7 linked regions of the Callithrix jacchus genome follow. The protein of the gene in region 5 interacts with the protein of the main gene of each other region in a pairwise test. Links are inferred from orthologs where the notes say so. Each region holds a gene or a part of one and is shown on either strand. Other genes may lie near its edges.

Region 1 (3,500 bases), on a different chromosome or scaffold from region 5:
TGTGTGGGGCAGCGGGGAGAGGGGAGCGTGGTCGGCCGGGGCTAGTCAGAAACCTGGCCTGCCTGCCCACCGCACTCCCTCTGCCCGCCTCACTCTTGGCATATTTTGGTGGGCAGCCATCCAGAGCCTGTTCAAACAGGTCCCGTGCCCGCTCCAGCTTGCGGCCCCCATAGCGGGCGATGAATTTGGTCAGGTAGGTGCTCCAGATGTCCGACACATTGGGCCACTTGAACAGCGAGATGCCGCGCTCATACGCCTGTTGCCAGAGGGGGAGTCACACGTTAAGAGTCTGTAGGTAGAGACCACTGGGAAGCTGGGATGTCCTTGGGTCACACCTGTAGGGAGCCTGCCAGGGTCTCGCTCAGGCCCTTCCCTGTCCATGCCTCCCTGTGCCTAATGACATTTATGGGGGTCTTTGCTCTGCACAATCTCCCTCTGAGAATCAAAAGAACAGGGGTGCCATGAGACCTGTGAAGCAAAGTCTGGTCCCATAGGAGGTGACATTATGGGTGACGGTGGGTGGCTCCCCAGCTCCGCTGACACTGGCTGCCAGTCCCCAGGGAGAAGGCCACACCCCCCCAGGCAGATGGGCAGGCAGCAGCATGTAGGCGCATGTACGACCTCCCCATTTGTGTATCTGCGTAAAGCCCACACGATCCATAGAAACACACAAACATGACCACTCTGGCCTCGGGACAGGACCTCAATATGGAGACATGCGCCTTGGGACAGGACCTTGACAAGGAGACACGCAAGACACCCCATGGCCCCCCTACAGGCCATCTCCTAAACTGTGAGGCAGGCAGAGACCACACACATTGGCACCAACACCCTCCCCACGAGTCATGGGTGTACATGGAAGCAGGACCCTGTACCCCCACAAAACATTGGTATGCTGAAATCTTAACCCATAGTATCTCAGGAGGTAGACTCCTTTGAAGACGAGATCATTAACTTAAACTGAGGGCATTAGGGGCTGCCTAATTGGTTATGACTGATATCCTTTCAAGAAGAAAAAATTTTAAATTTTAAATTTAAGAATTTTAAAAAGAAAAAATTTTGCTGGGCGAGGTGGCTCACACCTGTAATCCCAACACTTTGGGAGGCCAAGACAGGTGGATCACGAGGTCAGAAGTTCAAGACTAGCCTGACCAACAGCATAAAACCCCGTCTCTACTAAAAACACAAAAATTAGCCAGGTGCGGTGCCGCGAGCCTGTAATCCCATTCAGGAGGCCAAGGCAGGAGAACTGCTTGAACCCAGGAGGCAGAGGTTGCAGTGAGCAGATATGGTGCCACTGCATTCCAACCGTCTCAAAAAAAAAAGAAAAAAAGGAATTCCACAGTGACATACACAAAGAAAGAGCCACACAAAGCCACAGGGAAAAAGCAGCTATGTGTAAGCTGGAGAGAGAGGTCTCCGGAGGAACCAGCCCTGCCCAGGACTTGATCCCAAACTTCCAGCTGCCAGGACTCATAGAAGCTGGGTCTCTGCTGTTCAAGCCACCTAGTCTCTACTGTGTCTCAAAAGCCCCAGCAAACTTGTAAGCTGCTAAGGCCCCTGGGAAGAGACACGGCCATCCGGGGCCTCTGGGTCCGCCCTGGCCCCTCACCTTGAAGCTCTCCTCGAAGTATTTGTGCTCTTCCAGGAACATGGCATAGTTGATGACGATCTGGGGTGTTGCGATGCGCAGGTCCAGGATGCGGTCGTATACGGCCTTGGTGGACTGCAGGGATGGGGAGGGGACAGGTCGGAGCTGGCTCTGGAGCCAAGTCTGGGCCCCGGCCCTCCCTGGCCACAGGCAGCTCACCTGGAAGGTGCCGAGGCTCTCCTCCAGGTCAGCGAGCATGGACCACACCTTCAGTGACTTGTACACACGGTTCTGCACGGGCTCTGAGCCGTCAAAGTACTCAGCCCGGCGGGCAGGCAGCGCCGTGGCCTTCTGCAGAGGGAGAGGGTGGCTGGGGAGCTCAGGGGCTGTTCCCGGCCCTGGCCGTACAACCTGCAGCCCCCACCCCAAAGCCCAGGCCCATTCTCACCCGCAGCAGCCGCAGGGCCTCGTCATAGTTCTCGTGCCGGAGCTCCAGCTCCCCGCACTGACACCATACGCTTGCCAGGTCATCCACCTGCTTGAAGTTCACCTTGGTGGCCTTCTCCAGGATGACACGGGCCTGCCAGGGAGGACAGAGTCCAGGCTGAGACACATGCATGCACACACACACGTACACACAGGCACATGCAGCAGGGTGCTCACATCGTCCAGCTGCCCGTTGTCCTCATAAAACTTGGCAAATGCCACCCACAGTGTGTGGGGCTTGCCTGTGGCCTTGAAGGGGTCCACCGTCTGCACAGCCTCTGTGTAGGTGTTGATGATCTGGGACAGGAGGGAGGAGGAAGTCATATGGGACTCAGGACTCTGCAGGTGACTGGGGGGGCAGAGCTGTGGCTCTGAGGGGCAGGGCCTGGAGGGTGCCGTGGCCCCTGGGGGAAGAGGCCAGGAAGGAACAGTAGCTCTGAGGGGTGGGGCCAAGAGGGAGCTGTGGCCCCCTAAGGGTCGGGGCCAGGGCCAGGAGCACTGTGGCTCTGGGAGCAAGGCTAGGGCAAGACAAGAACCCCAAGATCAGAAGTAGAATAAGACCTACTAAGCACAGGTAGGCCCCTAGGAGGTGACATTATGGGTGAAGGTGGGTGGCTCCCCAGTCCTGCAGAAAACTGTGGCCCCGAGAGGCCAGGCCCCCATGGCCCTCAGGGGCAGGACTAGGACAGGCTTCACACACCTCCCGGGGGCGGCCCTGGTGCAGGGCAACACGCTTATGCCACTCGTGCACGTGGTGTGGGTTCTGGCGCAGCAGGACGCTGTTGAGGAGCAGGGGCCGCCGGCTGATGAGCTGCTCAAAGCGGGCTAGGCGCAGCTCCAGGTCCACATCGTCTGGGAGTCACGGACATGTTCATGAGAGGCAGAGGCCCAGGACGCAGATCCCCGCATGCCACCACCTCTGCTCCCAACCCTCACTCCACTCCAGACCCTAGCCAAGTTCTCTGGGCCCTACACACTCAGCTTGGGGATCTACCTGAGCCCCGCCCCTACCCCAGCAGATACCCCATCCTACTCCACTGTTCCCCTAGCCCTCTTGCCCTGCCAGGCTCTGACCCAGGCCTGAGACGTGACCCCATTCCTGGCTCCTCCAAGACCCCCACACCCCCTGCCTCCACCCAGCTTCCTTCCCGGGGCTGCTCCACCTAAGACATGCCCTGCCCCCACCTGCCAACGTCCATTCAGCTCTCTCCCCACCAGCCGGGTCCCCCAGAGGCTGACCCTCCTCCTCACGCCCCAGCTCTGAGGCGGTCTCCATCTTTGCAGCGATCATGCTCTCCTCGAACTGGGCGTAGCTGTCAAACACCTGTGTGAAGTCCCGCACGGTCATCACTGTCCGGATGGCCTCCTCGTACACGTCCCGAGCCTGTAGCGACCCAGGGAGGGGGAGTTAAGAGGAAACTGA
Region 2 (3,500 bases), on a different chromosome or scaffold from region 5:
TTCCTTTCCTTCCCAGGGCCTCCAAGCCCTCTGAGGCAGGAAGCCCCTCTCCCTCTTGGTCCAGCCTGGCTCGGCTTTTGTGCCTGAGAGGTGTCCTAGCACCTGTCTGCCAGGAGGTGGCACCATGAGCAGGCACACTGGGGTGTGGGGTGGGCCAGGGGCTGCTCAGGGAACCAGAGGCTGTTTCTCCGCAGAATGACCCAGACAAGGAATATAACATGCCCAAGGACGGCACCGTGCACGAGCTCACCAGCAACGTAGGCACCACTGGGGAGGCGGGAGGAAGGCGGGCCCAGGTCCCTTCCAGAGTTGCACCTTCGTAGTCCCCGGTGGCAGGATGGGTGGCAGGATGGGTGGTGGCGTGCTTAGTGTCTGTAACAGACGAGGCCTTTCCTGGCAGGCCAGAGCCCACAAAATAAAACACGGTTTCCAGCCTCGCTCTTTCCTGGGTGAATCCCAGCCCGGGCTGGTCCTGGGCTCTCAGAGGGGTCTGTGTGGGAGCCGTCGGCCAGGCCTGCCACTTGCCCTTCTGCACCGTCTTCTCCCCACCCAGGCCATCCTCTTCCTGCAGCAGCTTTTGGACTTCCAGGAGACAGCAGGTGCCATGCTGGCCTCCCAAGGTACTGGCACCTCCCAGCTGGGCCCCCTGCCCCACAACCCTCCTTGCCTGGAGACATGAGGTTAGAGGGCAGGGCACAGTGAGGGGCTCTCCAGTCCGTGGATATGTGGCCTGCGCAGGGGCCCTGGGGCTGAGCATCAGGAGAGCAAGGTTTGCCTGCACCTTTCAAGACTAGACACTAGACCTCTGGCCCCTCCCTCAGCCCCTTTGACCTTCCTCGCCCTGGAAGCAGTGTCCGCACTCTGGGAGCAGTGCTGGCTGGTTGGAAGATGTCCTTTCTGCCCCTCTCCGCCTCCCAGATCCTTCTCTCATGTCTGCCTGCTCTAATCAGGCTCGCTCAGCTGGCCTTCCATGGGTATCAAGCATCTCAGGGCCAGCTGGGTGTCTTCCTGCAGGCCCCTGCCCTGAGACTGGAGCTCAGGGGGTCGGCCTGTGAGCAAGAGCAGCTTTCTTAGTCATTCCAAGCACTGAGGTCCCCAGGCCCTCCCATCCCATTTTGGGAGCAGGGAGCCCGTGGGCAGCCACCAGTCTTCGGATCTCCAGCTCTCTACTTTGCAGGGCGCTCCCTGGTCCTCAGAAGGTCCCGCCTGCTGTGTCTTGCTGTCTGTGTTCTGGCTGTTGTGGGGAGAGGTCTGCTTAATGGGTTGACGTGCCGTTTCTAACCTGTTTTTTGCACTTTGCATCTTTTTCCCTCCTTTGTCTCTCCCTGCGTCCCCTCTGTGCACTGCCTTTCACTCCGTAGTTCTTGGGGACACATACAATATTCCTTTAGACCCCCGAGGTAAGCAGTATGGTTCTGCAGCCCCCCTCTTGTCCCTCTGAAGCCTGGTGGGTGAGGTTCCCTGGGGACTGACTCTCAGGACCTATTGGGGAGCTCGGGTCAGAGGGAACATGAGTCTTCCCAGGATACTCTAAGTTCTCTCTCCTCCCTTCAGGGCCACTCTGTCTCTGAGCGTATCCACAGCACCTGCTGGGGTCAGCGCCCTGAATACACCCCACAGGCTCGTCCGGCCTCCCTGCCTTGCCATCCCCCTCAGCCTTCCACACTGTGGAGGCCAGAGCTTCCTCTGTTCAGTAGGGCCTGGTAGAGGGGGATGTTGGAAATGTAGGGAGAGGTGGAGAGACTGTGGGGAGCTCATACTAAGCCTCTGCTGTTGGCAAAAGGGAAGAGGCAGCCTTGTAGAAACTACCTGGGGTGGGCTGGGGGCAGGGAGGGGGCAGGGCGCTGGCATCTCACTCTTGTCCTGCCCACCCTCCTGCTGAACTGGACCAGCTCCTTGGCCACACCACCCCATCATAGAGGGCAGCTCTGGGTTCCAAAATGTCCAGGGCTGGTGCTTCCTGCAGCAGGGGCTTCCCTGTGACTCAGCAGGTAGCCGGCTCTGCCCAATGAAGCCCAGGGCCTGTCTCTGTGCCCCCTCAGACTGCTGCATGGGCTGGGGGAAGAGCCATTGAGGGTCTTGGCTGCTGCCACTGCAATAACAGGCCTTCTCTCACAGAGACCAGTTCTTCTGCCACCAGCTACAGCTCCGAGTTCAGCAAGCGGCTGCTAAGTACCTATATCTGTGAGTGTTCTCCCGGGCGGACCAGCAGCCCTGCTGCCGGCATGCCCTGCCTTTCCCTTCCTTCTATCTGTGCTCTCTGGCTACTCCCAGAGCCCTCTGCTAAGTGCCATCTGACCTTTGGGACCACAACCTGACCTCTAGTTCAGAGGCCGAGGGGAGTTGGGCTAAGGCCTTCTGAAGCAGGATGAGGAGCAATGGATAAGGGTGGGTTAGCGGGTCCTGGGATGGGGTCATTTGGGTCAAACCACCATGGTGGGGATGGCCCCACTTTTCCCTATGCAGGTAAAGTGCTGGGCAACCTGCAGTTGAACCTGCTGAGCAAGTCCAAGGTCTATGAGGACCCCGCTCTGAGCGCCATCTTCTTGCACAACAACTACAATTACATCCTCAAGTCCCTGGAGAAGTAAGTGGCCTGCAAGAGCGAGTCTGTGGCTCTCACCTTCCCCTCAGCTGTGCAGCTGTGCCAGCCCCTGCCCTCCTGGGCTCCCTCTCTTGTGGTCGGGAGGGGAGGGGGTACTTCAGTCTCCTCCATCCCAGGACCCAGAAGGTGGGAGTGCTGCTGCTGTAGAGTTCATGGAGTTTGGGGTGCAATGGGAGGCCCCCCCAGGCATTGCTACAGCCTTTGCACCTAGGTGCCAATCCTGTCCTTCTCTTCTCTGTCCCCCGCCCCCACCCAGGTCCGAGCTGATCCAGCTGGTAGCAGTGACGCAGAAGACTGCCGAGCGTTCCTACCGGGAGCACATCGAGCAGCAGGTCCAGACCTACCAGCGCAGGTGAGAGGCTGGCCTCGCCCTGCCCTGCATGGAACCCCAGCCGTCTCTGTCCTCACCCCAACCCTGTGCCACCAACCAGTCTTCCTTCTCAGCACCTCAGGACAGAGGGATCAGTCATGGGGAACTGCCCTCTGGACCCTAATCTTCCACTTGGTTTTTAATCAAACTCATGGGGTGGAGAGAGAAGCCCCCTCGTCTGCAACTACCTGCTCCTAGAGGCCCACTGTGGCCAGCCACTTTAGAGGGGAGCCTACCAAGTGTCAAGGCCAAGAGTAATTGAAGAGCCGGCTGTCACAGATGTGGGTCATGTTTAGCCTAGGAGAAGCTCAGGGTTAGGAGAGCACTTGAGCTTGGCTGGGCGTTGCTCTGTGGGGATCTCTGTGCTTCCCTGGTCCTCTTTCTTCCTGGCTCTGTGGGGATCTCTGTGCTTCCCTGGTCCTCTTTCTTCCTGGCTCTGTGGGGATCTCTGCGCTTCTCTGGTCCTCTTCCTGGCTCTGTGGGGATCTCTGTGCTTCCCTGGTCCTCTTTCTTCCTGGCTCTGTG
Region 3 (3,500 bases), on a different chromosome or scaffold from region 5:
AGCAGATAGTACAAATGAAACAAGAATTAATAAGACAACACATGTCACAAATGGAGGAACTTAAAGCACTGCATAAGGGAGAAATGGAGAATGCGTTACAGTCACATCCAAATATTACAGTTAATGAAGATCAGATAAAGTTAATGAATATGGCAATTAATGAACTGAATATAAAATTGCAAGATACTAACTCTCAAAAGGAAAAACTCAAGGAAGAACTAGGAAGAATTTTAGAAGAAAAGTGTGCTCTACAGAGACAGCTTGAAGACCTTTTTGAAGAATTGAGCTTTTCAAGGGAGCAAATTCAGAGAGCTAGACAGACAGTAGCTGAACAAGAAAGTAAACTGAATGAAGCACACAAGTCCCTTAGTACAGTGGAAGATTTGAAAGCTGAGATTGTTTCTGCATCTGAATCCAGAAAGGAACTAGAATTAAAACATGAAGCAGAAGTTACAAATTATAAGATAAAACTTGAAATGTTAGAAAAAGAAAAGAATGCTGTCTTAGATAGAATGGCTGAATCACAAGAGGCCGAATTAGAGAGGCTGCGAACACAGCTTCTATTTAGTCATGAAGAAGAACTTTCCAAACTGAAGGAAGATTTAGAAATTGAACATCGAATAAATATTGAAAAACTTAAAGATAACTTAAGCATTCACTATAAACAGCAGATAGATGGTTTACAGAATGAAATGAGTCAAAAGATAGAAACCATGCAGTTTGAAAAAGACAACTTGATAACTAAGCAGAATCAGTTAATTTTGGAAATTTCGAAGCTGAAAGATTTACAGCAGTCTCTTGTAAATTCAAAGTCAGAAGAGATGACTCTTCAAATCAATGAACTTCAAAAAGAAATTGAAATACTCAGGCAAGAAGAAAAGGAAAAGGGTACACTTGAACAAGAAGTTCAAGAATTACAACTAAAAACAGAATTATTAGAAAAACAGATGAAGGAAAAAGAGAATGATCTTCAAGAAAAATTCATACAACTTGAAGCAGAGAATAGCATTCTTAAAGATGAAAAGAAAGCCCTTGAAGACATGTTGAAAATACATACTCCTATTAACCAAGAAGAAAGATTGATTTTCATAGACTCCATTAAGTCCAAATCCAAAGACTCTGTCTGGCAAAAAGAAATAGAAATTCTTACAGAGGAAAATGAGGACCTCAAACAGCAATGTATTCATCTAAATGAAGAGATTGAAAAACAAAGGAACACTTTTTCATTTGCTGAAAAGAACTTTGAAGTTAACTATCAAGAGTTACAAGAGGAGTATGCTTGCCTTCTCAAAGTAAAAGATGATTTAGAAGACAGTAAAAATAAACAGGAATTAGAGTATAAAAGTAAGCTTAAGGCACTTAATGAAGAGCTTCATTTGCAAAGAATAAATCCAGTTCCAGTAAAAATGAAAAGTTCTGTCTTTGATGAAGACAAAACTTTTCTAGCAGAAACATTGGAAATCGGTGAGGTTGTTGAGAAGGATACAACAGAACTCATGGAAAAGCTTGAGGTAACCAAGAGAGAGAAATTAGAGCTGTCACAGAGACTGTCTGATCTTTCTGAACAATTGAAACAGAAACATGGTGAGATTAGTTTTCTAAATGAAGAAGTTAAATCTTTAAAGCAAGAGAAAGAGCAAGTTTTATTGAAATGTAGGGAGCTAGAAATCATTATTAACCACAACAGGGCAGAAAATATACAGTCATGTGATACTCAAGTAAGCTCTTTATCAGATGGAGTTGTGACTGTGACAAGCAGGGATGCTGAAGGATCAATTTCTAAAGTAAATAGAAGTTTTGGTGAAGAATCAAAAATAATGGTGGAAGATAAAGTTTCTTTTGGAAATATGACTGCTGGAAAACAAAGTAAGCAAGAACAGTTGATTTTCGATCACTTGCCTTCAGTAACAAAGGAATCATCACTTAGAGCAACTGAACCAAGTGAAAATGATAAACTTCAGAAAGAACTCAATGTACTTAAATCAGAACAGGTATGTTTGCTTCTTTATATATGGTAAAGCACAGTCAAAATGTACATTTTACACTTAGAAATGTAGTTCTTAAAACATAAAATATAAATTCATATCCTTACAAGAGAATGAAAATGAACCCTCTAATGTAATTGTAACTTGAGCCTATCATATTTATTTATCATTTAAGTATTTTTTTAAACATTATTGCCTTTCTTGCAGTTAATCTATCTCATATATTCTGCTTAGGAAATAAAACACACTAATGGTTTCAGATTTTATTTTGGAAAGACAAGGGTTTGTATAACTTTTTGGAGAGTCTCAGCTTTAGAAAAGTGATTAGTTTCATTTTGTAATATTTTGAAATAATCTTAAAGATTGGTTTCAGAGTTTTTATTTCATAGTGATGTTTTCAAGTCTCCACAACTGCAAATGAACTCCTAAGATTTTTAGTAGTCTATATAGTTATTAGGTGGTTATGAAATTATATTTTCTTGGAAGAAAAAAAACCCTTGATTCAAGTCCTATTATTTTTTCAGTCTTTGTTATACCTGAAGGGGAAAAAACAGTATTAACTGTAAATATAGTTAAAGAATTATATGTATATAACAACAGAGCACTCCTGATAATTTATATTTACCAGATACTGATATTAAAATAACAGGAAAATTCTGCTGAGTATCTACAGTGTAATGATACTAACTAAAATTTTATGCCTTTCTTCATTTGTCTAACAAATATTTATTGACTTTTGACAAGTACGAATATAGTAGCCAACAAGAGAGAGAGTTCTGGTCTCAAAGAGCATGTATTTTAGTGAGGGAGGCAGGTGATAATGAAACAAGTAGGAGAGTTAGAAATAGTGATTAATTCTGTGAAGAAATAAAACAGGATAATGTGATAGAGAATGATGGAGTGGTGGTGATAGCCATTAAGTATGGTGGTCAGGAAAGGTCTCTTGGAGGAATTGATGTTTGAACTGAGATCTGAATGACACTGAAATTAGAGCAATTGTGAAGACATTTATAAGTTTGAAGAACAGAATAAAGGCCTGTATAATTGAGTTTGAGAGAACGGGAGAGTGGAAGAAGAGTTTGAAGGAGGAAGAGATCTTGGAGAATCTTATAGACTTTGTAAGAAGTTTAAATTTTATTTTAAGTATAATAGAAAGCCATTGGAAAGTTTTTTCTTTTTATTCCTAAATATATCATATTTATGTCCTTATGTCAAATGTTGAGATATTTTATGTTTATACTTATGATTTATATCAAATGTAGAGGTATTTTACATATTTAGTAGCCTAGAGTCAAGAAATTAAAATTGCTTAACACATTTTTTTTTTTAAATCAAGTCTCCCTCTGTCACCCAGGCTGGAGTGCAGTGGCATGATCTTAGCTCACTGCAGCCTCCAGCTCCCAGGATCAAGTGATTCCCCTGCCTTACCCTCCTTAGTAGATTACAGGCATGCTCACCTGGTTAATTTTTGTATTTTTAGTAAAGACAAGGTTTCACCATGTTGGCCAGGTTGGT
Region 4 (2,345 bases), on a different chromosome or scaffold from region 5:
TGAAGGACCTTTTTCTCCACAGCATGTTTTAATAATGAAATGCAGATTAAGAGTCCACCATTATAACATTTCCACAAGACAAAGGATCCACCTGATTCTCAACTCTGAATGCACATTTGAAATCCCCTTGGGGAGCTTTTAAAAGTCTGATGCACAAGTGTACCCCCAGTTAATTAACTCTGGGGAAGAGACCTGACAGCAACACTTAAGCTTCCTAGGAGACTGCAGTGTGCAGCTGAGGCTGAGGACCATTCCTCCAGCATCACCACATCATCTTTATTTATCTGTCACTGTGTCTCCTCATTGCCCATAGCTTTAGCAGCAGCAGAAGTAGAACTCAAACCTTGGTAATCAAGGCTTAAATTACTACTGTTCTTCAAAACCTTAATTGAAAATGATTACTGGTGACCACAGCACTCCATGTTCTTCCTTATGGCAAGAGGGTGGCATAGAAGATTTAGACAATACTGGGAGTTCTTATTTGAAGTCACAGAGGAAACTTTTCTCAAGCGGTTTTTATTACACTCAATGTATTAAGACAAGTACAAAATAACCTTGTAATTAGGATACTGTATCAGTCAAAAAAGGAGGAGTCACTGTTGTATGAAGAGATTTACAAATGACTAAAATATACAGGCTGTGACAGAATTAACAATTTGAAAGAGGGTTTTTTTAGAAATGCTAAATTTTCTTAACAAAACGAGACAAAAATACAGTGCTCTAAATATGCATTACCATGAAAACATTAAAGAAAAGCAGTCTTAACACTTACTACTATTAACATAACAGACTCTGTTGCTTCTATTTAACAGCCTTTGCCAACACATGCCCACTCCCTTTCCTAGCTTTAAAGAAGTTTCCTCTAAGGAATACTAGTGCAGCATAACCCTTAAATAATTTCGTTTATTTTTAAAGTTACAACCTACAGATAAATTAACACCTTGTCAATCTAATAACAGTGGCAACCATTCTTCACATGCACTTCTCTTAGAATAAATCCCCTTAGCCGGCAGAATAAGGTTTATGCTGTAGAACCTTCTCCCCCACAGCCACAGATTCCCTTCTATGATAAGTCCCTCCTACCCTCATGCCCCCCCCATCCCCACTGGCATTCACCTTCCCCATCCCAAAAAGTGCAGCTCTTGGTAGCCTTTCTAGAAATGGTTTTAATGGGTATCTTAGCATACACGCTTTTTAAAAAGCCCCCTCTGAACACCAGAGGTGATGAAAATGAGTTGTGTTCTTGGATTTTTTTAAGCCTCCACCGGGTCAAAAATATGTGCTCTCAATACTTGAGTTTTTGCTTTGTATGTGGGTTTTCCTTATCATTTAGCTATCATGGGGTAAAAGTGGAGTGAAATCTCCATTTTCCCATTCAAAATTGAGGGTGAGAAGAGAAAGAGAAGCAAGCTGTTGGCCCCACTTTGGCTTAGCTTCCCAGCCATCTTCCCAGCTCTGGTTCTTTCATAGGAACTAGTTATTGCTTCCACAGTGCCATTACAAGGAATGTTCCACAAAGGCTGTGAACCTGGTCACAGTCTGCCTGCGACAACTCTGCTCTGAAAAACAAACCAGCTCAGGACTCTTACCCAGAACCATCTTCAGCCCTCAAGGTCACTGAAACTTCATTAGTGCAGTTTAGAGTAGACGCGTAAGATTTGGCATATATTAAATGATTATTGGCACAATGTTCTCCAGTTCCATGTATAAATGTTGATACGCACATGGGCAGGGCCCAGGATGAATCAGCCAATCTGCACCATTTTTATGTCAGCAATAATCCCATCTCTTCCTTTTGAGCGCTGTAGGGAGAGCTGCTTCATCCGGTTCTCCAAGGCCTGGCCCTCAGGGGAGGTGCTGCTGTGGCTCTTACTGCTGCCACCACCGCCACTGCTATTGCTGAGGCCCTGGTTGTTGTTGGCTTTGTCACTTGTTTTATTTTCTGCCCCTTCTGCCCTGTCTCCTATAGAAATACAAAGATTATCAAAAGTGAGTCTTGACAATTTTAAGTCACTTTGGGCTCAAACCAACTAGCTAACTCAGCCCTGTGGAATTCCCAGTGTTGCCTTCTGTGCCTATCCGGGAGGTTCTGAGTATGTAATCACTTACTGCTTTTATTCCTTGTGATGTTCTATATATTCCTTGACTTTAGAGATGAAATTTGCCATATTCACTTTATAGCTGAGAAACAAACCTTTCTACTATGTGCTTGCCAAGGAGACTGTTCTGATGTGAGACACAGGACCTAAGCCCTACTTTATAGAAGCTGAGTGGAGCCAGGAGCCTCCCCAGAACAGCACTTGGAAATAACCTCAGTGATCAACACTGACAGCACAACCAGAGAC
Region 5 (3,500 bases):
TTACTAAGATGAAATTAAAAGAAAAAACTTACTGATCTTTTCACTTGATGGGGATAGATATACATTTACAAAATCTTTATGTCTTAGAGGATAGCAGATTTTTCCTATTTCTTGAGATTTTTAGTTTCTTTAAATCTCATACATAAATGTTGTAGGGAGAGTATTTTATGGTTGTCAAGGATTTTTTAAAGTTTTCTGCTCTGTTGACATGAATTGTTACAAAGCAACAGCTATTAGTCATTGTAAAATAGGACTTTTTTAGATGTACTCCCTTGTATTCCTCAGATTAGGACTTTGCTTTAGGTAGGCTCTACAAATAAAGAGATTTGGCAGGAAAACAATTTTTGGAAGGAGTACTAAGTGCAGGAGGCAAGAAAGACATGCAGAAGGGGAGGAGGTATTCCTGGAGCTTTGAAAGACTGCTTTGAGCCTGGCTTTAGACTTCCTACATGTTTAGATGTCACTTGTCAGTATTAAAATAGCCTTTTTAAAAAAATTGTGAATTTTAAGAATCATGACAATTTAATAACAGTTTTAAAGAGAAATTTAAAAATTATGTTTTAATTTTATCTTTTTCATATACTTATTTTCCCTTTTACATGCTTGTCATACTTTTTCCTATGTGCACACACATTCTTATTGAATATATTCATAATGCAGGAATGTTTTTCTTTTGACATTATGTGGAATGTTTTGCTTGTCATTATCTTTATACTTGTATATATTAATATTTAGTACTTCAATAATATTTTATTGTTATTCTGAGTTTGCTTTCATCCTGAATATAGTAAGTAATTATGTAGGAAACTACTTAATATATATTGTTTTTGTCTTCTTTTAGTTTTTGTCTCTTTTTTTTCTTTTTCTTGAGATGGAGTCTTTCTCTGTTGCCCAGGCTGGAGTGCAGTGGCACGATCTTGGCTCATTGCAACCTCTACCTCCTGGGTTCTAATGATTCTCTTGCCTCAAGTCTCCTGAGTAGCTGGGATTATGGGTGCATGCCACCATGCCTGGCTAATTTTTGTATTTTTAGTAGAGACAGGGTTTCACCATGTTGGCCAGGCTGGCCTTGAACCCCAGACCTCAGGTGATCCACCTACCTCAGCCTCCCAAAGTGCTGGGATAACAGGCATGAGCCACCGTGCACAGCCTTTTTAGTTATTGTCTTAGAAAAGAGATTGTTCAAAGGTTATGAGTATTTGTATGGATTTTAATGTTTTTGCCTATATGTAATTTTAAAATCTCTTCTCTGCCTTGATCCATGACAGTGAAAAAGAAGGAAGAGATAGAAAAAAAGACAAACAGCATTTGAAGAGAAAAAAAGAATCTGATTTACCATCAGCTATTCTTCAAACTAGTGGTGTTTCTGAATTTACTAAAAAGAGAAGCAAACTAGTACTTCCTGCCCCTCAGGTAATCTGATAAAAGCAAATTTTTCACTGTGTGAACTTACATGCCATATCATTTATTCAGCAAATGTTTGAAGGCCTGTGTACCACGTTTGTGCTGGATGCTCTTAAGAAATTCAGTTTAGTGGGTGAGACACACACGAAAACAAGTGGCTGTGGGCTGGCCGCTGTCCTCACACCTGCTGTGGTGGCTCATGCCTGTTTTCGCAGCACTTTGGGAGGCTGAGATGGGCGGATCACCTGAGGTCAGGAGTTGAAGACCAGCCTGGTCAACATGGTGAAACTCTGTTTCTACTGGAAATAAAAAAATTAGCCAGGTGTGGTGGCATACATCTGTAATTCCAGCTGCTCAGAAGGCTGAGGCAAGAGAATTGCTGGAACCCTGGAGGTGGAGGTTGCAGTGAGCCAAGATCGTTCTGCTGCAGTCCAGCCTGGGCGATGGAGTGAGACTCCATCTCAAAAACAGACAGACAAAAAAGCTCACAAGTAATTGTGATATAATATGATAAGATAGTTTCAGCTTCTCTGTATACATTGTTGTATCAGGTCCTAAACTGTTCATATGATGGTTTGGTAAGTAATTGTTAGCTTTTAACATTTTGTCAGCAGGTTAGGGCTACTTTTTGTAACTGACCAGGGTAAAGGTCTGATTTGGCTTTGTGGACTTTAAGCTGCCTTTTCCCAGGGAATGTTTTGTTGTGTTACGCTTCTCTTTTTTGAGACAACAGTTGTGAATCTGGAAGTTGTGGAGAAAAGAGATACAAACATTCCTTCATTCAGCTTATTACACGCTGTATTCTTTTGACTTACTGTAGTTGGTCAGAGACATGGGACCTTAGAGTAACCTTTTATTTTTTTGAGTAGTACAGCTTGGTAGAATTGGACAGATTTAATGGTGTAGAGGAAAGGACATGGGAGACCAGAAGAACTGTTTTCCCAAATGAGCACATTGGCTGCATCAACATAGGATTCATGGGCATAAACTAATTTTGTCATATCCTGCCATTCCTAGTGGGGATAATTATTAAATTGAAATTTTGTCTTTAATTTTTTTCTTAGTACACCTTAGGATATTTATTTTGGTGAAATTACTGACATGATACCTTTAGATTTTCTTACGGATCTGGTGGTTCACTGGACTCTTTCTGTGTGATATTTTAATTGGTTTTCAGTCTTTCTCCTCCCACATATTGATGAATAATTTTGTATAAATACTGCTATTTTACATTCTTGGTACATTGATACGTTGATTTGAAAGAATTTCAGCATGGAGATACAGCCTATGTAGCTTGATTCTATATCATATATGAATTTTCCTCCAACATTTGTTAGGGAAGGCTTTCTGAAGCTATATTATGGAAACTTTCAAAGCCACAAAAAGGATGAGTACTACAGTGAACCCCTGATACTAATCACACAGCTTCAGCGACTCATTTTTCTGGAATATGGAAATTTAAAGCTGTGTCAGTTTTCAGTTAAAATGTTGGTTTTTTTGTTTTGTTTTGTTTTTTAAATAGAGACAGAGTTTCACTTTGTTGGCCAGTCTGATCTCGAACTCCTGGGCTCAAACAGTTTGCCCTTCTTGGCCTCCCAAAGTGTTGGGATTATTAGTGTGAGCCACTATGTCTGGCCTCAGTTAAAATGTTGCTTACTGTGATAATTGTGTCCATTTAGATTTCAGATGCAGAACTCCAGGAAGTTGTAAAAGTAGGCCAAGCAAGTGAAATTGCACGTCAGACTGCCGAGGAATCTGGCATAACAAACTCTGCTTCCAGCACTCTTTTGTCTGAGTACAATGTCACCAACAACAGCATTGCTCTTAGAACACCACGAACACCAGCTTCCCAGGACAGAATTCTTCAGGTAAGGTGTCACGTAGTAGAATGAGCCTTTTACTTTGTTTATTGTCCTTGGAAGTACCATGCAGCAGAACTAAGTGGTTTGGTTATGTTTCTTCCTGTGTAAATGGTTTGAAACTGAGTCCTGAATGCATAGATCTTGCAACGTTCTGTAGTAGAGAAGCTAAATAGATTCAGCAATAAGGTAGTTTTAATTTCACATTTATTGTAACTTCTAGAAGCCAGCTCTTCT
Region 6 (3,980 bases), on a different chromosome or scaffold from region 5:
TCTTTTTTTTTTGAGACGGAGTTTCGCTCTTGTTACCCAGGCTGGAGTGCAATGATGTGATCTCGGCTCACCACAACCTCCGCCTCCTGGGTTCAGGCAATTCTCCTGCCTCAGCCTCCTGAGTGGATGGGATTACATGCACGCACCACCATGCCCAGCTAATTTTTTGTATTTTTAGTAGAGACGGGGTTTCACCATGTTGACCAGGATGGTCTCGATCTCTTGACCTCGTGATCCACCCGCCTCGGCCTCCCAAAGTGCTGGAATTACAGGCGTGAGCCACCGCGCCTGGCCCACATTTTTAATTTCTAAAGAAACGCTGTGTCTGATTGTTTTATTCGCTTTAACATTTTCAAGATGGAATTTTGCTTTGCTTGCTTTCCTCTTTTTCATAACCCACTTCTCTCAGATCCATAACACACCTACCTCAAAGTATCCCAGGAAAGCACCCCTGTGAAGCTGCTAGCCACAGCCTGTCACAGGTAAGTCCTCAATTTAGCTAACAATAACGATGGTATTACTGTTACTTTTACAAAGTGTTTTCCCTGGCACCTTCTGGAAGTCCTCCCAGGAAAACGGATTCACAGCGCTCCTAATTTTAGGGGCCCTAAGGGGAGCCAGCTACATTTCCAAATGGTGGGGAGGGGTGGAGGGTGGGCGAAACGACGTGGGGAGAGTTGAATAAGGAGGAGACAGATGGTGCGGGTGTTGGGGGAAGGGACCAGAGATCCTGGAAAACTTATGTTTCCCAATTCGCAAGAATGTTTCCATTTAACCACTTCTTGCCTGACTCCTGATTCCACACAACAGAAAAGCAGGGAGTTTCAAGATTTGGGGCCACCTGTGCCAAGAGCCTGGCTACTCCGGGTGGACAGAGACAGGAGCATAGTAGGTAGAGGAAGAGCGGGTTTTGGCCCAACCCCCTAGGGTCTGGGACCCAGGTGAGAGACGGTCTCTCCTTCTTCTGGCAGGGGCAGCGTAGGGGTGGCCGGCTGCTGGGACTGTCCCACGAGGGGGCGCGTCTCGGGCCCTAGGACCCGCCCTCGTGGCGCTGCGCGCGGGGAGGGGACCCGGGAACCCAGGCGCCTGGCGCTCCGCCTCCCGTTTCCGGGGCAGCGCGGTTACCTGCACCGCCCAAGCCGCACCTGGCGGAGGCAGAAGTCACAAACCCAGCGAGCTCAGAGCGGCGAAGCGGAGAGGAGGGACGGCACCCGGCTGCAGGGAGGAGAGGGAGGCGGCGGCGGCGGCGGCGGCGGCGTGGAGGGCGCAGTGCGCCGCGCGGCGGAGGAGGGCAGACGGCGGCGGCGGCGGCGGCGGCGCTCGGCTCGCTCTGCCCGGCCGGCTGGGCGCGCACCCGGGCCCAAACCGCGCCGCTGCGGGCGCACATGGCAGCGTGAGAGGCCGGCGGCGAGCGGAGCGGGCGGCGCCGGGTCGGGGCAGCAGGGCCGCATGGACAGCGGCGCCACACCGGCCGGCCCCCACTAGGGCCCCCTGTCCGAGGGCGCCACCCCCCCATCATGGTGCCTCGGCGGCCGCCCGGGCTAAGAGCGGCCGGCTGGAGCCGCTGAGCCCCCGCGGCGGCCGGGAGCTGTATGGGGGAGCGCCGGCCGCGCTCGGGAAGATGCCCCGGCCGGAGCTGCCCCTGCCGGAGGGCTGGGAGGAGGCGCGCGACTTCGACGGCAAGATCTACTACATAGACCACACGAACCGCACCACCAGCTGGATCGACCCGCGGGACAGGTAGGACTCCGGGACCCTCCTCCGTGCCCTCACACCCCCGCTCGGGCCCCCACCTGCCCCTGGAGCCGCCGGCCGGGACTGGGCGGGGCGGGGGAGCTCTGCGTGCCTCTGCGCTCTCCTCAGTTCGTCACCCCCGCTCCTCGCAACCTTCTGGAGTGCTGCTCCTGCCTCAGTGGGCTACGGAGAGGAGGCGCCTGCCGGGGAGCTGGCCCCGGCTGCCCCACCACCATCCCCAGATGGAGGACTTAGGCCCCAGCAGGCACCTGCCGGGAGTTTTGACCTTAAGCTCTAGGTCCCCCCCCCCGCCCCCTTTAGGAAGATAGGTCGGACGGGGGCGGGTGTGGGGGGAGCGACCTAGCCGGGAGAAACCAGGTCTTCCCGGGGAGGCTCCCCCCCAGCGAGGGGGTGGGCGGATGGGGATGGGGAAGTGTCCGGTTTGTAATGAGTGGTCGGGACCGAGCATTCCTTGGGAGACTACCGGAGAGCGGACACTCGGCGCCGAGGAAGGCAGCCTGGGGTGTGCTTTTTGACAGGTGCCTCCGAAGCTCCCGAGAACAGCACAGGAGCAGCCAGGGGGGCTTGGAGCCCGAGGGTGGGGAGGAAGTGAAGAAGCCGGGGGAGGGCAGATGAGGGAGACTGGTTCTCTAGGAATCTAGCAGCAACTTGGAAGCTGTTAGGATGGAGATGGAGGTGAGAGGCCTCCGGGAAAGCCCTGTCCCTTGCCTCTTTCTCCTCCCTTTCTTTGCTGGTGCGGGGAGGTGGGGAGGGCGAGGCTCCTCGGCCCTGCACCAGCGGGAACTGACCTTGGTGGGTACCAGGCCGCTGTAGTTTGAGATGATGTGCAGAGGCAGGTGGAGCGTGAGATGGCTCAATGTACCTCTCACCTCTCCGGACTTTCTCCTGGTTTCGGCTGGCATTTATTTGCTCACACGCAGCACATACAAATACATAGACCCTATCCATGTACGTCTTGGAGTCCCCGGACCACGGTGTTTTGACATGGGTCTGTGGTCAGAGTGTCTTGGGGAATGTGGAGTTTAAACCTTGTCTGTGACCTTGGGGGTCAGGTCCCTGTAAAGCAACTAAGGTGAATTTCTTGGACTCTTCATCTTGTGTGGTTGGGATGGGGGTGTCCCAGAAGTGTAGCAAGATGTGGGTTTACAAAAGAAAAGAAGCAGAAAGAAAATGAGAGTTGAGATTCCCAGTAGTTTCTGGGAGCACTTTGTTCATTCATTCATTCAGCACTTCCTGGATGCCTCCTCTACACTTAGCACCATGCTGAGTGTTTTATGAATGTAATCTGGAAGAGAAATATTTAATGCTAGAGAGCATCTCTTAGGCAAGCTGCTTCAGCCACTGAGCCTCAGTTTCCCTGTTTGTCAGATGAATGGTTTGCTTGGAAGGGAATATTGGGACGCCTAAAAGTTGGAAGGGACATAGAGCCCAACTCCCATTTGAAACATAAGAGAAAATGTGAAGCCCAGAGGTGTGATTTGCTCAGGTATTTTGATTTTTCTGCCTTTCTGCATACCAGTTCTTCCCCAGTTCTGAAGTTCTAACCTTCAAACTTGTCATCCTGACACACTGCTTCCCACCCCTACTCAGGTCAGTTGGCGGCTTTGTTACTGTGTTGGTGAACTTGGCAGCGCGTTTTCTCTTGTTCTTTTCTCAGAACAGGCGTGAGTTCAAGTGTATGGGACCTGCCCCAGTTTAGGTCCCTGCAGCTTACTGAGTGAGGCCTGTGTGCTGTTAGCAGGTGGACGTCCTGTTGGAGGGAAAGGAGGTCCCCGCCAACACTGATAATCATGCATCTCGGCACTTCTAATACAGCAATAGGAAGCTTCTCTCAAACAGCAGTAATTCTTTACCCTTGCAAAAGGGCAAGCAGGAGAAACTGATTGGCTAGAGCACAGCCCCCCAGATTTGAGTGCTATATGGGCCGCCGCCGTGATTTTTTTTTTGCTATATCCACCTGTGCTATTGCTTACTCACTACTTCACTTTAGATCAACTCACTTTAAAACTTTTTGTACCATTTTCACAAATGGGAAACTAGTTATATCTATTGTCATAAAAGGGAAACAAAAATGACAGGGGGAAAAACCCCAGTGTTAGTATATATCAGCTAGGTACTATGGCCAGCCTAAGGCCCCAGCACCTGGCCTGCCCAGCCGTTGTTTTTAGGCACATTGGCAAGCCGTGGAGAGGCAGCAGAAACATAGTGGCACTTAGGTGAGCAGC
Region 7 (3,500 bases), on a different chromosome or scaffold from region 5:
AGGGTGGAGGAGGGAGGAAGGAAGGGGAGCGGGGTGAGGGGGAGGGGGAGGGGAGGAGGGAGGAGGGAAAGGACGAAGAGGAAAAAAGATGGAGGAGGAGGAGGAAAGATGGAGGATCATCCTCACAAAGGATACAGAAGGCCAACAAGTTGGAGGAAAACTTGGAGAGGAAGAAAGTGTTAGGGAAGGAGAGAGGGGCTTCTTGTCAAGCTCTAATGTGAGGGAGTCGTGTGGAGGCTGAGAATTGACCATTTAGTTGACAAGACAGTTTGCTGGTGACCTTCGTATATCCCCTATAAATCCCAACTAAACCAAACACAAAATCTTTTACAATATTTTAATCTGTTGTTAACTATTTTATGTCAGGAAGAAAGCAGGATAATATTTCAGCTAAAATTTTAGACTCCGTAGGGTCTGGAATAAATGAGCCAAATCGGGAAACAACAACTTCCGAAATCGGTAAGAAAAGCAGATGCTTTAGTTTCATTCCTTACCCCTCTAATGCGAATGGCTGTATCTCAGTGTAGTTACGCATTTAAAAAGATGATTCTAAACACTTGTATGTTCATCAGACTTTTTCATGATGTACTGAAGGTTGGAAACGCCTTGGGGTTTTACTTGCTTAAATATGATAAGTTACGTAACTCTATTAACTCCGCTTTAAGTTAATGATAAGCTTTTTGTACATAGCTTATGTTTACATTTCAGTCAGAATGCTTTCTTAATTTTGCTGTTGGGATTTCACAGTGGTGCGGGTGACGGCATAGACAAACGGGTTTTCTGTCTTCATCTTGCCCTGCTGTATTCTACTCAGAACATGCTCGCAGTAGAGATGTTTAAAGTGCTTCTCAGGCACCAGGAAAGCCAGCCTGTCACAGCCAGTCACATTTCAATCCTCGTCCTGCTGGCTCAGAGGGGATGGGCCTTGGTTCAGTATCAGTAACTGCGGTCATCTGTGACTACAGAGGGAATTCTTCAGAAATATTCAAATTCTTCAGCTGCATTTAAGGAAAAAATAGTGTAAAATTAGACTTTAGGGGAAGATAAGATTTTTGCTGGGCCCAACTTGCCTTGTATCTGTCTGACTTTGATGAATTCTGAAGTGTAGCTGGAATGCCGGTGGGTGCACCTTTCTTTCTCTGCATGTGTTCCCCCTCAGAGCTGGCACTTCCAGGATTGGGCATGATTGGTACAGCAGCTGCAGTGTGAAAGGTGATCTGTGGTTATTTTATTCCAAGTAGGGCCACTGTATGGGAGTTACCTGGGTCTTCGGTAGCATGGGATGGCGCAATAAGAGGTGACTGAGTTGGAGCAGGGGTTTTCACTGGAGAGAGCCCTTGCCACGTGGGAATGCATGTTACAGCTCAGCAGCATCTTGTGATGTATGTTTTCTTTTTCTGGTAGCTTTCCTCATCCCCAGGCACCTGTGGGGAAACGCCCAGCCGCTCTGCAGTTCTGTACACAGGACAGGGCAGCAGGCAGCGGCAAAAGCCTGAGGGGTAGACTCCTGGTAGCCCCCATCTGGGTAGCTGGGACCCCATCTCTAAGACCGCTGGGGCAACTCCCCACCATCTGCTTTACCTGTCTCATGACCTTAGCCAGCCATGTGAGTGGGTTCTCTGAGCCACAGTTTCCTCATCATAAATGGGCATAAAGAGACCTGCCTGAGGGTGAAGGAGGTGATGTCCATAAGGCAGCCACTCACCCCGGATCAGGGCGAGACAGCGCTCATCCTGAGATGGGCAGTGGATTTAGAACAAATTGAAAGCATTCTCCAGACAGGTAGTGAGCACTACGTAGGTAATAGCCACAAGTGTGGAGATAGCACAAGCCAGGCAGTGAGAAGCACAGACTCTGACCTTGGTTTCTGCGTTCAGCTTTTTGCAGAGATAGGGATGGAGCCTGATGCCACCTGCTGGGGAACAGTCTCTCTGTGGCGGTGGCCGTGCAGGGGGTTGGGAACAGTGGCCAGGAGCAGAGCCTGCGCTCTGGAGAGACTCCTGGTCCCTCCTCTCTCTCCTCCCCCAGCCCTGGCCCTGCTCCCCTGGGGTCCTGCCACGGCACGGGCCTGGGCTCTCTGTCCTCAAAGTTGCAGGTGTTACCTTGCACTGGCCATGGCTAACATTTGGAATTGAGAGTTTGCTGGCAGTTGTTACTGTTCCTTGATTTCTTCATTGAGGGTGAACTCCAGGTGCACTGCCATTGGGTCTGGTTAGCGAGCTGGTCCTCACAGTGCCTTTCCTTCTTCGTGCTTCAAAGAAAAGTCCACGTTGCCAAAGAAAGCTGGCCTGTGTTGCAGTGACCGAGCCAGCCCTAGCGAGCCCTGTGCCCATAGTCTGCGTCATCATCAGAGAATTCCTGGGGTTTATGTTATCATTTTGATTTTTTGGGTGGATTGAAGAGTTTGGCTGGGCGCCGGTGGCTCATGCCTGTAATGCCAACACTTTGGGAGGCAAAGGCAAGTGGATCACAAGGTCAGGAGTTCAAGACCAGCCTGGCCAACATGGTGAAACCGTCTCTACTAAAAATATAAAAAAATTAGCTAGGCATAGTGGCAGGCGCCTGTGGTCCCAGCTATTCGGGAGGCTGAGGCAGAGAATTACTTGAACCTGGGAGGAGGTTGTAGTGAGCCGAGATCGTGCCACTGCACTCCAGCCTGGGCGACAGAGCGAGACTCCATCTCAAAAATAAAATAAAATAAAAATGGCTATAAATTGAAAAAAAAAAAAAAAACAAAGAATCACAGACTAAGCACAATCTGTTGTCTGGAACTACCTGGTAACCTACTTGCAGCCTCTCAGCTGCTGGGTCTGGTTCTAGTGGGGAGGCAAGTGGAGACTGGCAGTGTCAGGTAGCTCCAGAAATGGGGGCGGGGACAGCCTGCTCCTCATGGCCCAAGTAGACCCAGGACACACTCACAGTCTGGGATTTTCTTTCTCCTCCACCTAATTGTGGAGCCACCCATGGGGAAGGAACATTCTAGGTGCATGTTTTCTAAAAACTGCCTTTGGTCAATCCTTTGTCAACTTGCAGTGTGGGAAGATGTAGATAAGTGAGCATGCTCTGTGTTAACAAAACTGCTGATCACCGGCCCTTTGGTGTAGTCTTAATGACTAATTTCAAACTGTTTTATGTCAGGAACAAAAGAAGCTAATATTAACTCAACTAGTATTTCAGATGATAACTCAGCTAGTCTGCGGTGTGAAAATATTGAGCCCGATTCTGCAGTGAAGCAGAAAGGTAAGAATGGTCCCGTTTTACCCTTTTCTGGCGAGAGCAGAGTCAGCCCTCCAGAGCCTTCCCAAAGGGCCACAGCCCAGAGCTCAAGGCTCTCCCTTGGGTCTGAACGTGGCGAGTGATTCACTTCTGGCTTTTTGCATAAACCAGAATCTAACACAGTGGTTTCTTGATAACGGGAGACCCACTCATGTGCTCCCCCATGCTTTGTGAGTGAGAGGAGGTGGCATGGTTCATCACTTGGGAGGTGTCCTGAATGATCC

Evidence for each region.
Region 1: the proteins of CDC5L (region 5) and XAB2 interact in a two-hybrid assay, tested with the Homo sapiens proteins (2 studies listed by BioGRID and IntAct, with this or other methods). The link is inferred for Callithrix jacchus from reciprocal best matches to the Homo sapiens genes CDC5L and XAB2.
Region 2: the proteins of CDC5L (region 5) and EXOC7 interact in a two-hybrid assay, tested with the Homo sapiens proteins (2 studies listed by BioGRID and IntAct). The link is inferred for Callithrix jacchus from reciprocal best matches to the Homo sapiens genes CDC5L and EXOC7.
Region 3: the proteins of CDC5L (region 5) and AKAP9 interact in a two-hybrid assay, tested with the Homo sapiens proteins (2 studies listed by BioGRID and IntAct). The link is inferred for Callithrix jacchus from reciprocal best matches to the Homo sapiens genes CDC5L and AKAP9.
Region 4: the proteins of CDC5L (region 5) and SH3BP5 interact in a two-hybrid assay, tested with the Homo sapiens proteins (2 studies listed by BioGRID and IntAct). The link is inferred for Callithrix jacchus from reciprocal best matches to the Homo sapiens genes CDC5L and SH3BP5.
Region 6: the proteins of CDC5L (region 5) and WWC1 interact in a two-hybrid assay, tested with the Homo sapiens proteins (2 studies listed by BioGRID and IntAct). The link is inferred for Callithrix jacchus from reciprocal best matches to the Homo sapiens genes CDC5L and WWC1.
Region 7: the proteins of CDC5L (region 5) and TRAF3IP1 interact in a two-hybrid assay, tested with the Homo sapiens proteins (2 studies listed by BioGRID and IntAct). The link is inferred for Callithrix jacchus from reciprocal best matches to the Homo sapiens genes CDC5L and TRAF3IP1.

The regions. Positions count from the first base shown.
Region 1 is NC_133523.1:7,201,175-7,204,674, forward strand, and holds part of XAB2 (pre-mRNA-splicing factor SYF1), read right to left. Parts: intron 3,462-3,500; coding exon 3,317-3,461; intron 2,930-3,316; coding exon 2,778-2,929; intron 2,375-2,777; coding exon 2,255-2,374; intron 2,172-2,254; coding exon 2,040-2,171; intron 1,943-2,039; coding exon 1,811-1,942; intron 1,727-1,810; coding exon 1,613-1,726; intron 257-1,612; coding exon 94-256; intron 1-93. UniProt on the Homo sapiens protein: Involved in pre-mRNA splicing as component of the spliceosome. Involved in transcription-coupled repair (TCR), transcription and pre-mRNA splicing.
Region 2 is NC_133506.1:131,991,421-131,994,920, reverse strand, and holds part of EXOC7 (exocyst complex component 7), read left to right. Parts: intron 1-194; coding exon 195-257; intron 258-553; coding exon 554-620; intron 621-1,361; coding exon 1,362-1,400; intron 1,401-2,118; coding exon 2,119-2,184; intron 2,185-2,466; coding exon 2,467-2,587; intron 2,588-2,861; coding exon 2,862-2,957; intron 2,958-3,500. UniProt on the Homo sapiens protein: Component of the exocyst complex involved in the docking of exocytic vesicles with fusion sites on the plasma membrane.
Region 3 is NC_133512.1:57,620,490-57,623,989, reverse strand, and holds part of AKAP9 (A-kinase anchor protein 9), read left to right. Parts: coding exon 1-1,991; intron 1,992-3,500. UniProt on the Homo sapiens protein: Scaffolding protein that assembles several protein kinases and phosphatases on the centrosome and Golgi apparatus. Required to maintain the integrity of the Golgi apparatus. Required for microtubule nucleation at the cis-side of the Golgi apparatus.
Region 4 is NC_133518.1:54,070,089-54,072,433, forward strand, and holds the end of SH3BP5 (SH3 domain-binding protein 5), read right to left. Parts: intron 1,964-2,345; coding exon 1,746-1,963; 3' UTR 501-1,745; downstream 1-500. UniProt on the Homo sapiens protein: Functions as a guanine nucleotide exchange factor (GEF) with specificity for RAB11A and RAB25. Inhibits the auto- and transphosphorylation activity of BTK. Plays a negative regulatory role in BTK-related cytoplasmic signaling in B-cells.
Region 5 is NC_133505.1:52,864,076-52,867,575, forward strand, and holds part of CDC5L (cell division cycle 5-like protein), read left to right. Parts: intron 1-1,268; coding exon 1,269-1,413; intron 1,414-3,083; coding exon 3,084-3,272; intron 3,273-3,500.
Region 6 is NC_133503.1:31,160,590-31,164,569, forward strand, and holds the start of WWC1 (protein KIBRA), read left to right. Parts: upstream 1-1,180; 5' UTR 1,181-1,621; coding exon 1,622-1,740; intron 1,741-3,980. UniProt on the Homo sapiens protein: Regulator of the Hippo signaling pathway, also known as the Salvador-Warts-Hippo (SWH) pathway.
Region 7 is NC_133507.1:159,660,508-159,664,007, forward strand, and holds part of TRAF3IP1 (TRAF3-interacting protein 1), read left to right. Parts: intron 1-322; exon of another isoform or gene 323-366; coding exon 367-459; exon of another isoform or gene 460-3,138; coding exon 3,139-3,240; exon of another isoform or gene 3,241-3,500.